2 linked regions of the Caenorhabditis elegans genome follow. The protein of the gene in region 1 purifies or fractionates together with the protein of each later gene. This does not show direct contact. Each region holds a gene or a part of one and is shown on either strand. Other genes may lie near its edges.

Region 1 (7,879 bases):
TAGATGGCCTTTTGCTGTTTGAGACTTGAGAACTCTAGAAAACGTCTCAAAAAAAAACATTTTACGGTTTTTTAAAATATTAGATAAGCTTAGCTGAAATCTTTGATTTAAAAACTTTGCGTGTCGCAGCGATTGAAGGTTAATTTTAATTGTTTTGTAGTTAAATGAACAGAATTGAAACAAAAATCAATTTGTCAAGCGCGTCAAAAATTTTTGTAATATTCGCAGCTTTAAGGATTACTTTTTTCTGACTTTAAACCATCTTATAACTTTTTTCAAAGTATCATATTAAAACAATTATCGCTACTACATTTTTGATGATGATTTGTTTTGATGTTTTGAATGCTTGTAAATGTTAAAACACACTGTTTAATTTTATTTCGTTGTCAATGCTTCAGTTCAAACCAGTATGACTCAATAAAGCCTGTGTGCTACACAGAAAACTGTTAAGTTAAAAAACCCCATCATAAAATTTCAGAAGAACTATCAGCGATGACAAACGATATGTCTGTAAGAGGAACCAACGGTGCAATAATGCAAGCCGCGATGGAACTGGGTATCGGAAGATTTGTCGGAGTTGTCGAATGAAACGATGTCTGGAAATTGGAATGCTTCCAGAAAGTTGGTTTTTTTTTGTCAAATCATAATGCTCACCAAATTTATGTCAGATGTGCAGCACAAGCGAAATCGTCGAGATTCTGGATCCCCGCCTCGTAAAACTCCATTTGACACTTTCTTCAACGGATTTTACCCCTCATTCCAACCTTCTGGATCAGCAGCTCAACCGATCACTGTATCCTCAAGTGAATCACCTCGTCACACAACTAATTGAGCGTGATAATTGTTTATCTTCCGATCTCAAAGCATAAGTTCCAGTTCTATTATTACCGATACTCACAATGTGATTCAATAAAAAATAATTTACTTCGATCTGGAAAGGGCTAAGGCAGTTCTTTCATAAAACGTATTGAAACAGTAAAAACGGTCCCCAGTATGTAAAAGAAACATCGATCTGATCAGTCATACTATTTTTCTAATCAATAGTTTTTTTTTCAATTAGATAGTGTTTTAATAGTAAGTTTTTCTAAAGTCAGGAAAATAAATATCAAATAATTATCTGATTTTTTAAATGTAAAATTGGAATAACGAGGCAAATATTTTGAAAACATTTTTTTTGTTTTCTGTGTAGAACAAGTTTTGTTTTAAATGATATCATATAACCAATTTCATTTAACAGTAATTAACTAATTTAAAGATATTAGGCGTCGTGGTTACAATTACTGCTTTTTGGTTATAATTCTTTTATGAACATTTGCACATACTGTTTAATTTAATTTTCATTGCAACTTGGCTAACGGAGAATGCTATTATCTTCTTACTTTTGTAATAATTATTTTGTACAACATGTGTAGTTGAAATTTTGAAGGAACACAGCAACCAATGACAGTATTGAATAAGAAACTCGTACTCAATTTGAAAGATACTTTTCTATATTTGCTTTATTGCGCGCTGTGATGCAATTTATACGGAAAAACCTGTCTATATGTTGACTTGCGATAGTTTTCCCTGTCGTTGATGACAATCGCAAAGACCTAAATTCCGTGGAATGTTCTACCGGGAATCTCAACATCCAATTGACACCTGTTGTCATCTGGGGGTATAGCTCAGTGGTAGAGCGCTCCCTTAGCATGGGAGAGGGCTGGGGTTCAATTCCCCATACCTCCATAAGTTTTTTGCATTATTAATCGAGTTCATTTACATAAAGGCAAACATCTATAGCAGCACTCTAGCACTCTGGTAGAATGGTGTTATTGGAAGTTAAATGAAACTAAATATAATAATAATAATTGTTAGACTCAGATTTTTTTTCTTAATAATTGTTAGACTCAGATTTTAATGTAAAGTGTTATTCCAACATAAGTGGTTAAGACTAATTTCAAAGTTTTACCCATTTTTCAATTGCAATTTATTCAACAAAAAATAGACTTTTAGGTAGATCTGTCTGAGGAATGCTCAATAAATTTGAATCATGGGGATCAATAGTTGCAAGGAGATCCGAGACTGAAAGTAAGACTGGTGTAAATTTAACAAAAAATCAATAAAGAAATGCTTGGGATGAGCGAAATTTTGTTCTATGATATTATAATTTCAATAAATTATAACTTAATTTAAATGGGCGAAAAATGATAAGGCTTTTGGGAGAAGAACTGGGGTTGAAAGTGATAAATAAATAAATAAATATAAAACAAAAATTATGAATTGCCTATGGAGCTTTGGACCGTTTAGAGCTCGATCCAGCTCCCTCTTCATTGTCGCGGTGTCTTTTCTTTTGCTCATCGTGTTCCTTCTCTTTTCTCTCCTGACGCTCCTTTTCTTTCTTTTCCTTTCGCTTACGTTCCGCGCGTTCCTCCTCAGTTTCGTGCTTTTTATCCTTCTTCTTGGGCTTTTCCTCCTCCCGATGACCATCTTTCTCCTTCTTAGCCTTCTTTTCCGCTCGTTCACGTTCCTTTTCCTTTCGTGCTTTGCGCTCCTCTTTTGTTTCATGTTTGGATGAAGAAGATGACGAAGTAGAAGCTGCCGATGAAGTTGATGGAATGTCGTGTTTGTCCTTCTTATGTTTCGAAGAAGAAGACACTGATGCAGATGCAGATGTACTTGGCTTTGATCCATCATCCGACTCGGAATCATCAGATTCGGAGATAGCTTCATCGTCTTTCTCGAGACCTTTGTCTTTAAGTTCTGCCAAATTGCCACGGTTCAGTGTCAGACGGTGGTGGTTAATGTTGTCATCGCCAAACTTGGGGTTTCTGAAAATAAAAGTTGTTATGCGATATGCATTTAAGTTTTTGATGGCAAGATCTACAGTGAATATGGAAAATGTAAACACTTTCTGATTTTCAAGGTGTAAATGTGCTGCTTTAATGGATATTGGTGGAGTACTGAAGTTTGATACATTGTTATTTTAGACCCAAAATGGTTCAAAAAAACATAACTTCGAAGTTTTTTAAAAACATTTTGAACTGGCAATTTTGAATATTTTAAGGCACTATAAAAGTTACAATTTATAATTTAAAATGGTTGTTTTTCATGCTCAATCAACTTGCGAATGAAAATAATCAACTTCAACTTTTTAGAGGTTAATAAAAATCTAAAAATCGCATATCAAAAAATCTGGCAATGCAATAGAAATTGTTCAATGGTTTCATTGTTTTATCAAATGATTTTTCAAACTCTGATTTGTTTCTAATTTTTAGCATCTATTACATTAGTTTCCTGTCCTTCTCAAAGTATACTTACTTAAAATTGGCAATCTGCACAATAACTTTTCCATCTTCTCCGCCGGTGAGCAGAAGATCCTTGGTTGCGGCCATGCACTTCACTTCTCCTTTGTGACCTTTGTAGCTCAACATTGGCTTCTCTTGACGGACACCATCTTGGTTCATTGCTGTCATAGAGATCTGGAAGAAAAGTTTCAGTTGCAATTCAGTTTGATTTGAGACTTAAACCCTTACAATTTTCTTCTTCTTGACACCATGAACCCCCACCAATGGAATATCGTCGTTCACTCCTTTGATGAGCCCAATGCACCATTCTGGATCCTTGTAATATGCTCTGAAATGTTTTTTTTTTGATTTAGAGTTGCGATCAATTTACTACAAAAACTCACTTTGAAGTCCCAACAACTGGATCATCGGCGCTTTCAGTGACACTTCCATAGAGAACCTCCAATTTTCCTTTACTGTCAACAAATACTGAAGCTTGAGATTGTCGGGAGATTCCATACACAATTCGCTTGTTGATCACTCCAACTTTGGAGATGGGTCCCGTTGCCCAGCGCTCCCACCGAACAGCATTATCTTCATCTCGAAGTTGACAGTCAAACGACTTGATGGAGCCGCTCTCATCTCCTAGGATCAGATCGTTTCCGTTCAAGTAAAACTCCATACTTGTTACTGACGATTTGAGCCGTTTCTGAAAAAAAAAAATTTGTGATTTTTTTAAATATCGTACTATAATTTTGTTGCCAATATATAATGACAAAAAATACAAAATTTTTTTCAAAGTCTGATGATTATTGTGGTTGTGTTAATCGATTTTGCGATTTTTACTTGTATATACTTGAAATGTGCCAGACTGAACGAATTTACAATTAGTAATAAGACTTCTCAACTTTTGTTTTAAAAATGTATATTGCGGTTCAAAATTTCGATAAAAGTTGCCTAATTTTAGCTAAAACCTCCAATTTTTCAAATTTTTCCGTGTCGCAGCGATCCGAAATTTATTTTTATTTAACAATCATTTTTCATTGCAGTCGTTTATCTCAATTTTTTGTAACATAAAGTACATTTTAGGCCGACAGGTAATGTTTTGGTCATTTTGGTTACCTATTGACTTTAAATGTACTATAATTAACAAAAGAAAAAACGACTAAAATGTACCACAAAGGATAAGAATTACATAAAAGCTATTTCGCAACTTCCAGAGCACGGAAAATAATGCAAAATTTGATATTTTATCTGTCATTTTGCAACTTTTTTAAAGTTTTGATTTTTCCGGAACAATTTGAGTCTCTACAGGCGATAAACCCAACCCAACACTGAAATTCCATCTTGATGACACACTTACGAAGTAGCTAGTAATTGGATCATTCGGGTAACGCAGGTCGTAAAGTGAAACAACATGATGATGATGCTCACGACGTCGAGAACCCCGAACGTCAAGGATTCCACCTCCAAACTCGGAGCTAGCGACTGCAATAGTTGTGCTGTTCGACGACAATGCAGTGCAGACGACGTTGTGATTCTCAGACTCTGGGTTCATGCGATGCTTCTTCTTCGAGTCGGTGCGGAAATCAAAAGTGTGAAGTCCAAATGAATCGTCGACCGCGTAGATTACAGCTGAAATTTAACAATTTATTTCATTTTTATTTTAAATCTCTTTCTCACATTTCTTATTGAAACTGAAATGAATTCCAGCAATCTGGTTGGGCACCTCATAGCGACGAATCACCTTTCCAGAATCTAGGGAGAAGATTGGAATGTAGAGATTTGCCAAATATGCGCATGCGGTGTTCTCATCGTTGACACTGAGCAGTCTGACCGATGCATTGGAGCTCAAATCGATTCTAACCGGCATTTCGAGTTGAGGTCGCTACTCTGAATATAATATTTTGGTATTAAAAAATTGGGACAAAAATTGTAAATATAAATCATTAAAGAACGTTTGTTTCAAAAAGAAAGTTTTGATTTGTTTGGAATTAGAATGAAAAAGAAGAGGATTAAAATCGATAATTTAACAGACTAGTGGGCAGAGAGGAGGGGGAGATATAAAATGGGGACAACACTAAACACAGGGAGAAAAGGTAAGGTGCGCGCGTTCGGTGGTATCTAGGCCACGCAATTTTTTCCTAACCACAGTAAACGCGCTCCATTGAGAAAGTGGACTTTAGTACAAACGCTCGTATTGATGTTTGGCACGTACGTGTGAATTGCAGCTTGTGAATAAGCTGTTAGTCTATTTTTCAATAGTTTCAGGCAAAATTTGGAGAATTATTGAATATAAAAACAGTTTCAGGGATACAATTATGGTAATAATACTATTTATTCGACGAAGATTAGCAACAAATCCACTTTCAACGCAGATGTGCATAGCTGGTGAGTATGGAAACTCGAGGAACATGATAAAAAAGGAAACACAAATTTTAAGACAAGATTGGCAATATAAACATGTTTAGCTGAATTTGTTTTAAAAGTAAATCCTACGTTAATTTATAAGCAAACCTTATTATGTTAGAGACTTATCGGATAGAAAAGTAAGCTAGAACTAATTAAAAATTGTTTTAAACACAATAAATTGCTCTTTCGTTATTCCAGCTCAATTTTTTGAAATTGCTCTATTTACATTCGTTGTGAACATTCTTCTTGAAAAAAATATTTATCTTATCTTTCTGCTAATTTAAGACAACTATTTCCCAAAAACAGGATATATCCAAGAATTGAAGTTTCCCAATTGACTTTTTCTGGTTGACCGGAATCGAATTATCGATAAACTGAAACGTGATAGCCTGATATTCATATTTAATAAACAAATGAACAAAACTTAAAAAAAATTGATCGAAAACGTATTGAATCAAATATTTAAAATTTATATCAGGGTGACAGCAAAAAACCGATTACATAATTAAAATTGACCACTCTATGATTTAAAAACTAAATTGTGCACACAAAACGCGCCAACAATGTATTTGCGCATCTTTCGTGTTGTGATGGTTTGGTTCAGGCAAGACAAGTTGCTTGATAGAAGAAAGAGGATAGATAATTGGTTATAAATTTGGAAATATGAAGAGTACTTTCCAGGAACAATCAGTGGATCTGGTGACTGTTTAGCGCAATACTTATCGCATAACCAAGAATGGGATCGTTGGAGGACGGCCCGATTTTCATTTTTGTCAAGTTGTTTTATGGTGAAACTTGCCTTTAAGAAATTTTTTTTATAGTTTATTCAGGCGCCATCATTGTTCATATGGTTTCGTTTGCTGGAAAAAGTGAAAGGAAATAATAAATCACTACTTCTTGTTAAAAAACTTTGCATTGACCAGGTGATTAACATCAAATTTATAAAAATAACAACCTTTAAAATACAATTTTCCAGCTCTGTTTTAGTCCTTGCTTTAACGCCGCAATACTGTTCAATCTCCGGCTATTGCAACACCAATCAGCGGAAAAGTCGTGGGATCTTCTAAAAGAAGATTGGTTCAACATTTATGCAACAAGTTTAAAGGTACATACATTTTTTTGGAAAATTAGGAAAAAATACATTCATTTTCAAAGCTTCATTCAAAGATTAGATGAACAATTCAAAGATTGTTTAGACTTAAGTTTCTCAGTTACAGTTTTGACGAATTAGCTAATAATAAAAAATTAAAAGTGCCCGTATAAAGCCATACAATCTTCAACCATAAATTATTAAAATACAATAAAAATATCAAGCTTGTAGTAAATTATTTGGTCGGCGAATGAAGTTTAAATAGTTGTAAACAAGGAAAATGCCACTTTTTGATAGTAATACAACTTTTTAGAAATAGTTTTTAGAAAGTTTTACTTAAATATGTAACTAGCTCCATAAAAGCAATTTTGAACATTATCTACTGGCGCTATGCTTTGTTTCAATTTTGGGTAAATCAGTTAATAAAATTAAAACATAAAATGACACAACATATATTTTTTTTCTATTTTAACATTCTTAATTATCACAACTAATCTCTGATTTCACATTCGTTGCGCTCAACCCAGTTCCCTCAAATTTCGAAACTTTCTTCTAATCGGAACACACACTGGACATCTCTATTACCTTTTCTTTTTCTCTCACCCATTTTTCCCTCTCCAAATGACAGAATGAGGACTCCTTTCTCTTCGCGCCTCATCTCCCAGCAAGGCGTCTCAACGAAAAGAGACAGCCGAGAAAATGTGCGGGTCGTCGCCGCAATTGAGCCACTGCTGCCTGCATTTGTCGCCTATCGCTGGCTCGTCGCGACGCGGACACGCAACATCCAACTGCTCCAACATTGCGAGTCCACATCGCCGGCGGTGTCGTCGGAGCGATTCGCAAGTCGCCAACGGGTTTCCATTGCGACATCTATGTCGCACCGGCGGTCCTCTTCGTTATCGGCGATGCGAGTTTTGTCGTTGCGACGTGGTGAATCGCTGGTGCGATTCGTCGTCGTGTGCGCGAGTGTCGCATTTGCGACTCGTCCTCGCCAAAAGAGCAGAGCTTTATCCCGAAATTGAAAGAGTGCACAATAAAAAGAGGATGCATTGATATTCACAAAATGAGGATTGGATCAACATAGATTTGGAGGAAGACGAACAAAAACTGATGC
Region 2 (5,917 bases), on another chromosome or scaffold:
CTTGCAAAAGTGTTTTTACTGTACCATTACGGTAAATAAGTAAGTAAGGCCAAGCTCTTTTCAATTAAAATAGTACTTACGCGCCTCTAGATAATTATAGCCTACAAGAATAGCGATTATTGCGTTTGGAGCTCTCAGCATCCTACCCATGCTCCAGGATGCGTTGTCTTTACAATTTGCTTGCCCTGAACCTGAGTTTTCGTAAGTTGTTCTATTCTACGTCTGTGCCTTTCTACAGTACTCTGAGTGGGACCAGCCAATGAGAACGTCCACTAGTTTTTTTTTTTGAACAGTTGGTCAGTTGCTATTTGTGAGCAAAAACTAACATGCAAGGAAGCTCTCTCGGTTTTTACAGACAAGACCCCTCCCGGCTTCCACAGGTTCTGAACAAACTCCGATACTTTCCTCACAGCTCCACAGCTCCACAGCTGAAAGCTCCAGCTTTCCAATGCCGTACTTTTTATTTCAAAATACCAAAAAAACGTTTAAAAATTAACATTTATTAACAAATCCTTAAAATCAATTATCTCTTTGCTGCAGCATTTTCTCTGGCGGTTTTCATATGGCTTTTGGTCCAGTCGGCCACATTCCGTGCGTTGTCTGCACTTGGTTGATCTGAAAATGTTCAATTATTATAGAAAGTTAACACTAATTAAACTTACATCTATAGTTGGGATTCGCATTTCCCGGACGTCCCTGGTAATTTGAAGAGATTGGAGGCATATCGTTGTGCCGACCGGCCAGGGCTCCGGCCATGTCTTTTCCGACGGTTCCTGGCTGTGAACGTGGTGTAGTGGGCATTTTGGCTGAAATTTGAAAATTTAGTGAGAAAATGAAGAGAAAACTGATTTTTCTATATTATCCGGCCAACTTTTTATACGGGCGGTTTTGCTTGAACCCCGCCCACTTTTCACGCTCTTTTATCAGAAACTCGTATAATTGCGTGTGACTTCGCTAGGTGAGCAAAAAATTGTTTTTGCACTTATTCCCGTCACAATGGCGCCACATAAAACTCCATCGTAAAACTCTGATCGGAAATGTGTACGATGAATGAGTCACGGTTAATATTATAGAATTTACTAATATCAATAAAATGAGCTGGAATACAGCGAAAAAACGAATTTTCAATATTCGGAACACTATCTTTAAAAATTGGAGTTCAAATAACATTTTGGCTTATATTCAGCCAAATCCAATAAAAAATGTCGATGAAAAGTTTTAGAGGTTACCGTATGCACTACAGGACATTCCTAATCAATCATCATGTCCCATAACATTAATTCCACAACTGTTATCCTGTATCAAGTGACCGGAAACTTGAAAATGTTATGAAAACTCTAGCTTCTTGCCAATCACTTTGAACTTCTGTTTTTTCAGCTCTAGGTTCTGGGTTCTGGGCTCTGGGCGCGTTGGGAATAGAACATATTGAACTTTCGCCCAAAGACAAATGTTTTTGGCGAACTGTGGTTGTTTGCTCACTCTAAACAAAAAAAACAATTTTCGAAGAATTCAGGAAGATCGAAATGTTCGGCATTGTGACCAAGTTGTGGATCTGTCTAAAATTGGAAATAATTAATCAACAAAATGCGCTCTGCAGTTTGATATTACGGTTTTAGACAATATTGCCTAGTTTGAATCTCGCTCCCACCTGTGTCTTATCGTTCACTTCAATCGCCAAAAAAGTAAATTGTTTAGTGAGCAAACAATTACAGTTTGCCAAAATCATTTTTCTTCGGACGAAAGTTCAATATATTCTATCCCCAACGAGCCCAGAGTCCCGGGTCCAAAGCCCAGAAACCAGAAATTCAAAGTGATTGGCATGAAGCTATAGTTTTCGAAACATTTTCAAGTTTCCGGTCACCTGATACAAGATAAAAGTTTTGGAAGTAATGTTAAGGGACATAATATTTGGTTAGAAAGGTTCGGAATCATCTAGACTTTTTGATGAACATTTTTCATTGGATTTGGCTAAATATGTTATTTGAACCTCAATTTTTAAAGGTGGATTTGAGCATTTGCTATTTAGATCCAAAACGGTCCAAAACTGCCGAATTTTGAAATGAAACGCTCTAAAATTTATTTTTAAGAAAAGTCATGATGGTTCAAAAAAATATATGTTTTTGGCCATTTTGGTATTTTGCTTTAAAACTGTAATTCAAACAACACATTGGATTATTTTCAGAAAAATCCAATGAAAATTGTTTATTGACCCTAAATTTGTTGGTCACAATTACTTCAAAAATAGTATTCCAGCTCATTTTATAGATATTAGTAATTTTTATTAACTGTGACTCATTCTTCGTACACATTTCCGACTAGAGTTTTATGATGGAATTTTATGTGGCCATTGTGACGGGGATAGCGGTTGAAAACAATTGTTTCTTGCTCACACATAGCGAAATCACGAGCAATTATCATACGAGAGCGTGAAAAGTGGGCGGGGTTCAAGCAAAACCGCCCGTATAAAAAGTTGGCCGGATAATATAGAAAAATCAGTTTTCTCTTCATTTTCTCACTAAATTTTCAAATTTCAGCCAAAATGCCCACTACACCACGTTCACAGCCAGGAACCGTCGGAAAAGACATGGCCGGAGCCCTGGCCGGTCGGCACAACGATATGCCTCCAATCTCTTCAAATTACCAGGGACGTCCGGGAAATGCGAATCCCAACTATAGATGTAAGTTTAATTAGTGTTAACTTTCTATAATAATTGAACATTTTCAGATCAACCAAGTGCAGACAACGCACGGAATGTGGCCGACTGGACCAAAAGCCATATGAAAACCGCCAGAGAAAATGCTGCAGCAAAGAGATAATTGATTTTAAGGATTTGTTAATAAATGTTAATTTTTAAACGTTTTTTTGGTATTTTGAAATAAAAAGTACGGCATTGGAAAGCTGAAGCTGTCAGCTGTAAGCACTTTCAGACCATTCATTTGACCTGAAAGTTAATGGAAGTTACTAGAAAAAATGGCAGACTATATTCACCTTGGTTGGCAGAATTTGCATTCCCGTGCCTTGCTTGTGAGCTAGGTGGCTGACGGGCTTCTTGTGACGCCGCCAGTTTTTTGTTTGATTCCGACTGTGCACGATTCATTGTTCACGGAGTTGATAGACCGCTTGAGAAAAAGAATGCAAGAAAGTAATGGAAGGCAGCCTTTTTATATGTAGGCTCAACGGAAACTAGAGGGTTGGCAGAAAAGTTGAGATTCTTATCAGTAACGGAAACTGATTATCAGTTTGTTGACGTTTTGTTCGCCGCAGAAAAGAAAAGCGAGCAAGGTTTTGCAATTGATAACAGAATTGGAAGCACATTGATCACTACAGAAAGCATGAGTCATTCGCCTTTCCGTCACAGTATTTTTACAGTACTCCTACAGTAACCCAGACAGGCAGCACAAACTATGATGTCATCTGCTCTAAGTACTATAATATTTTGACAAAAAAAACTAGTCTCTAGTTTAGTACAGACAACAATAGCTGAAAATATAATGTCATGTCATATAACTAGTTAGTAGAGCAATTTGTCACTTTTCAAACATTTTCCTACCTTACGAAAGTCTATAATTATCTATATATCGGTCTACTTAAGGCTTGTCAGACTCCTCTAAACAATGAAAAAATCAATTTGTCACTTTTTTCCTGACACCTATAATAATGATTCACAATATAACAACTTTGGTTTCTTTTTCTTTTTTCCGCACCTCGTGCCAAAATTGACATCACAACAAAACCCCCCAGGGCTATAATTATCCCCCTCCTACTTGTCAGCTGGCTCATTTTGACTCCTTCAAGCCGCCACCAAAATGAGCACCCGTCTCATAATCCCCGCTAACTTTTCCTACGATGATCCTCTGCCATTCACTTGTAACGAAGATTCGCATGTGATGCTTTCCGTATTGGAGTATTTGGTTCAGGCGACTTATCTGTCTCTCAGTGTCGTTTTGAATTCTATGATAGTTTATACGATATTCAGGTTTAAGGGAAACCATTCGTATCGGGGGAACCCGTTTTTTGTGTTGTACGCTGCGGAGGCAGTCATGGTGAGTTACCTGAAGTGCCTAGTGTCTATTGTAACAAAGCAGTAGCTGATAAGGCTAACTCGGCAAGTTAGCTAGAATCGAGGAATTTACGACAAAACTGTGAAAAAGTATAGGTTTATTATTATTTGTTTTCAACGTGAAATTTTTGTGCAACTTTATAGAATCTCAAAATTTAGCGGATGAAAAACCTGTCCAAACATTTTCACGTGAATATACAAAACAATTTTTTGCTTTAATTTTAGGCACTTTCAGAGCATCCGGGTCTCAAAATAAACATGATATTCGTGTTTAACGTGTTCTCAACATTCTAAAAACTATTTTTTCGACCCACAAAGCTCAATATCAATTTTTCGCCCATTTTTTCGGAAGGCAAAGGTCCACTTTCGTTTTTCAGAGCGGAGGACGATTTTGGAGATGAGCCAACATTTTTGAAAAATTCTTTCGGAATCTAATAGAGGACCTAAAAGTACGATGTTTCATCAAAATTTTAAACGAAAATGTTGAAAATGGGGGATTTTATGAGCAAAAATCAATAATTGCAAAAATCTGTGTGTAAATTTTCTGAAACTAATGATATTAATATGTATTTAAGTGTTAAAACATGAAAATATTTATACAATAATTCTTAGTTTATTTTATTTTGATAGTATCTATCATCTTCAAAATGTGGAAGCCAACAGATTTGTTTTTTTTTTAATTTTTAGAATAGCAAATTTAAAAAATGACAACAAAAAAAGAGTGCAAGAGTAATAATGTGTGAAAATTACCATAACAATTCAAAAACTGATAGACCACTTTTAAGAATATTCTTGAATCATAGAGTGTGAAATTTGTAGAAGAACTATGAGCACTGCAGTGGAATTTCAAAAAAAAATGGTTGCGAAATTTCTAAAGAACACTCCAGATAACTTACTGCCAGTCCAAATGCTGAACTGATCACATCAAACAAAGTCATATTCTAAATTATCCTCATTAAAATTATATATATCAGCAAAAGGTGCAAGTTAAGGCTTGGTGATCCACAAATCTTCCTAGACTCGGTAAATTTTGTATCTTCAAACAGGCATATCTCAAAAAATACACGTCTCACAAACAAATGTTCAACTACAAAAATGATTAGAAATACATTTTCTTTCTTTTGCATTACTTTTGCTTACAAAATATTAATTATTTATTGAGTTACACAGAGTCAAAGCCATTTTGCCAAAAATCACAAAAAATTTTGAGAACTCGTTTGTTGTACCAGTCATAACCCAAACTCTATTAAATTTCAGAAGAAAAAATTTTAATGTATAATAAGTAAAAAATTTTTCTTCACATTTTAACAATAATAAGTATTTTCAAATTTTCATGATCAGCCAAGTTACAGACCGTTTTCTGAAAAAATCCAATTTTGCTCATAAAACTCTTCATATCCCACGTATCGACTTGAAATTCTGAAAAATGATCACTTTTTTGAGGTTTTTATAATGTCCTAAAAAATCCTTCAAAAAATCCTGCTAATCTCCGTAATCGTCCTCCGCTCTCAAAAACGAAAGTGGACCTTTGCCTTCCGAAAAAATAGACGAAAAATTGAAATTGAGCTTTTTGGGTCGAAAAAATAGTTTTTAGAATGCTCAGAACACGTTAAACACAAATATCATGTTAATTTTGAGGTGCGGATCCTCTGAAACAGTCTGACATAGATTTAAAAAAAAGCATAGATTTATATTTTCATTTTCAACGTGAAGGTTATGTCTCTAAATTTTGAGATTCTTTTGGAATCTAAAAGCTGCACAAAACTTTCAAGTTGAAAATAAGCCTAAGCCAAAGCCTAAGCCTAAGCCGAAGCCCAAGCATCTCTCCACAAAGTTCCGCACTGCCGCGCCTACGC

The links.
Region 2: the proteins of T18D3.1 (region 1) and Y105C5A.13 fractionate together in Caenorhabditis elegans (co-fractionation; one large-scale study listed by BioGRID). This does not show direct contact.

The regions. Positions count from the first base shown.
Region 1 is NC_003284.9:12,452,022-12,459,900, reverse strand, and holds T18D3.1 (WD repeat-containing protein 89), read right to left. Parts: upstream 5,157-7,879; 5' UTR 5,137-5,156; coding exon 4,947-5,136; intron 4,899-4,946; coding exon 4,627-4,898; intron 3,973-4,626; coding exon 3,668-3,972; intron 3,613-3,667; coding exon 3,513-3,612; intron 3,459-3,512; coding exon 3,298-3,458; intron 2,808-3,297; coding exon 2,264-2,807; 3' UTR 1,944-2,263; downstream 1-1,943. Other genes in the region: Nuclear hormone receptor family member odr-7, read left to right, coding at 479-621, 669-832; T18D3.9 (Mitochondrial inner membrane protein Mpv17), read left to right, coding at 5,585-5,654, 6,357-6,463, 6,506-6,598, 6,652-6,780.
Region 2 is NC_003282.8:15,638,412-15,644,328, reverse strand, and holds Y105C5A.13 (SMP domain-containing protein), read right to left. Parts: upstream 3,099-5,917; coding exon 2,990-3,098; intron 2,854-2,989; exon of another isoform or gene 2,818-2,853; coding exon of another isoform or gene 2,726-2,817; intron 2,679-2,725; coding exon of another isoform or gene 2,540-2,678; exon of another isoform or gene 2,530-2,539; intron 807-2,529; coding exon 663-806; intron 616-662; coding exon 524-615; 3' UTR 501-523; downstream 1-500. Other genes in the region: Y105C5A.12 (SMP domain-containing protein), read left to right, coding at 2,540-2,678, 2,726-2,817.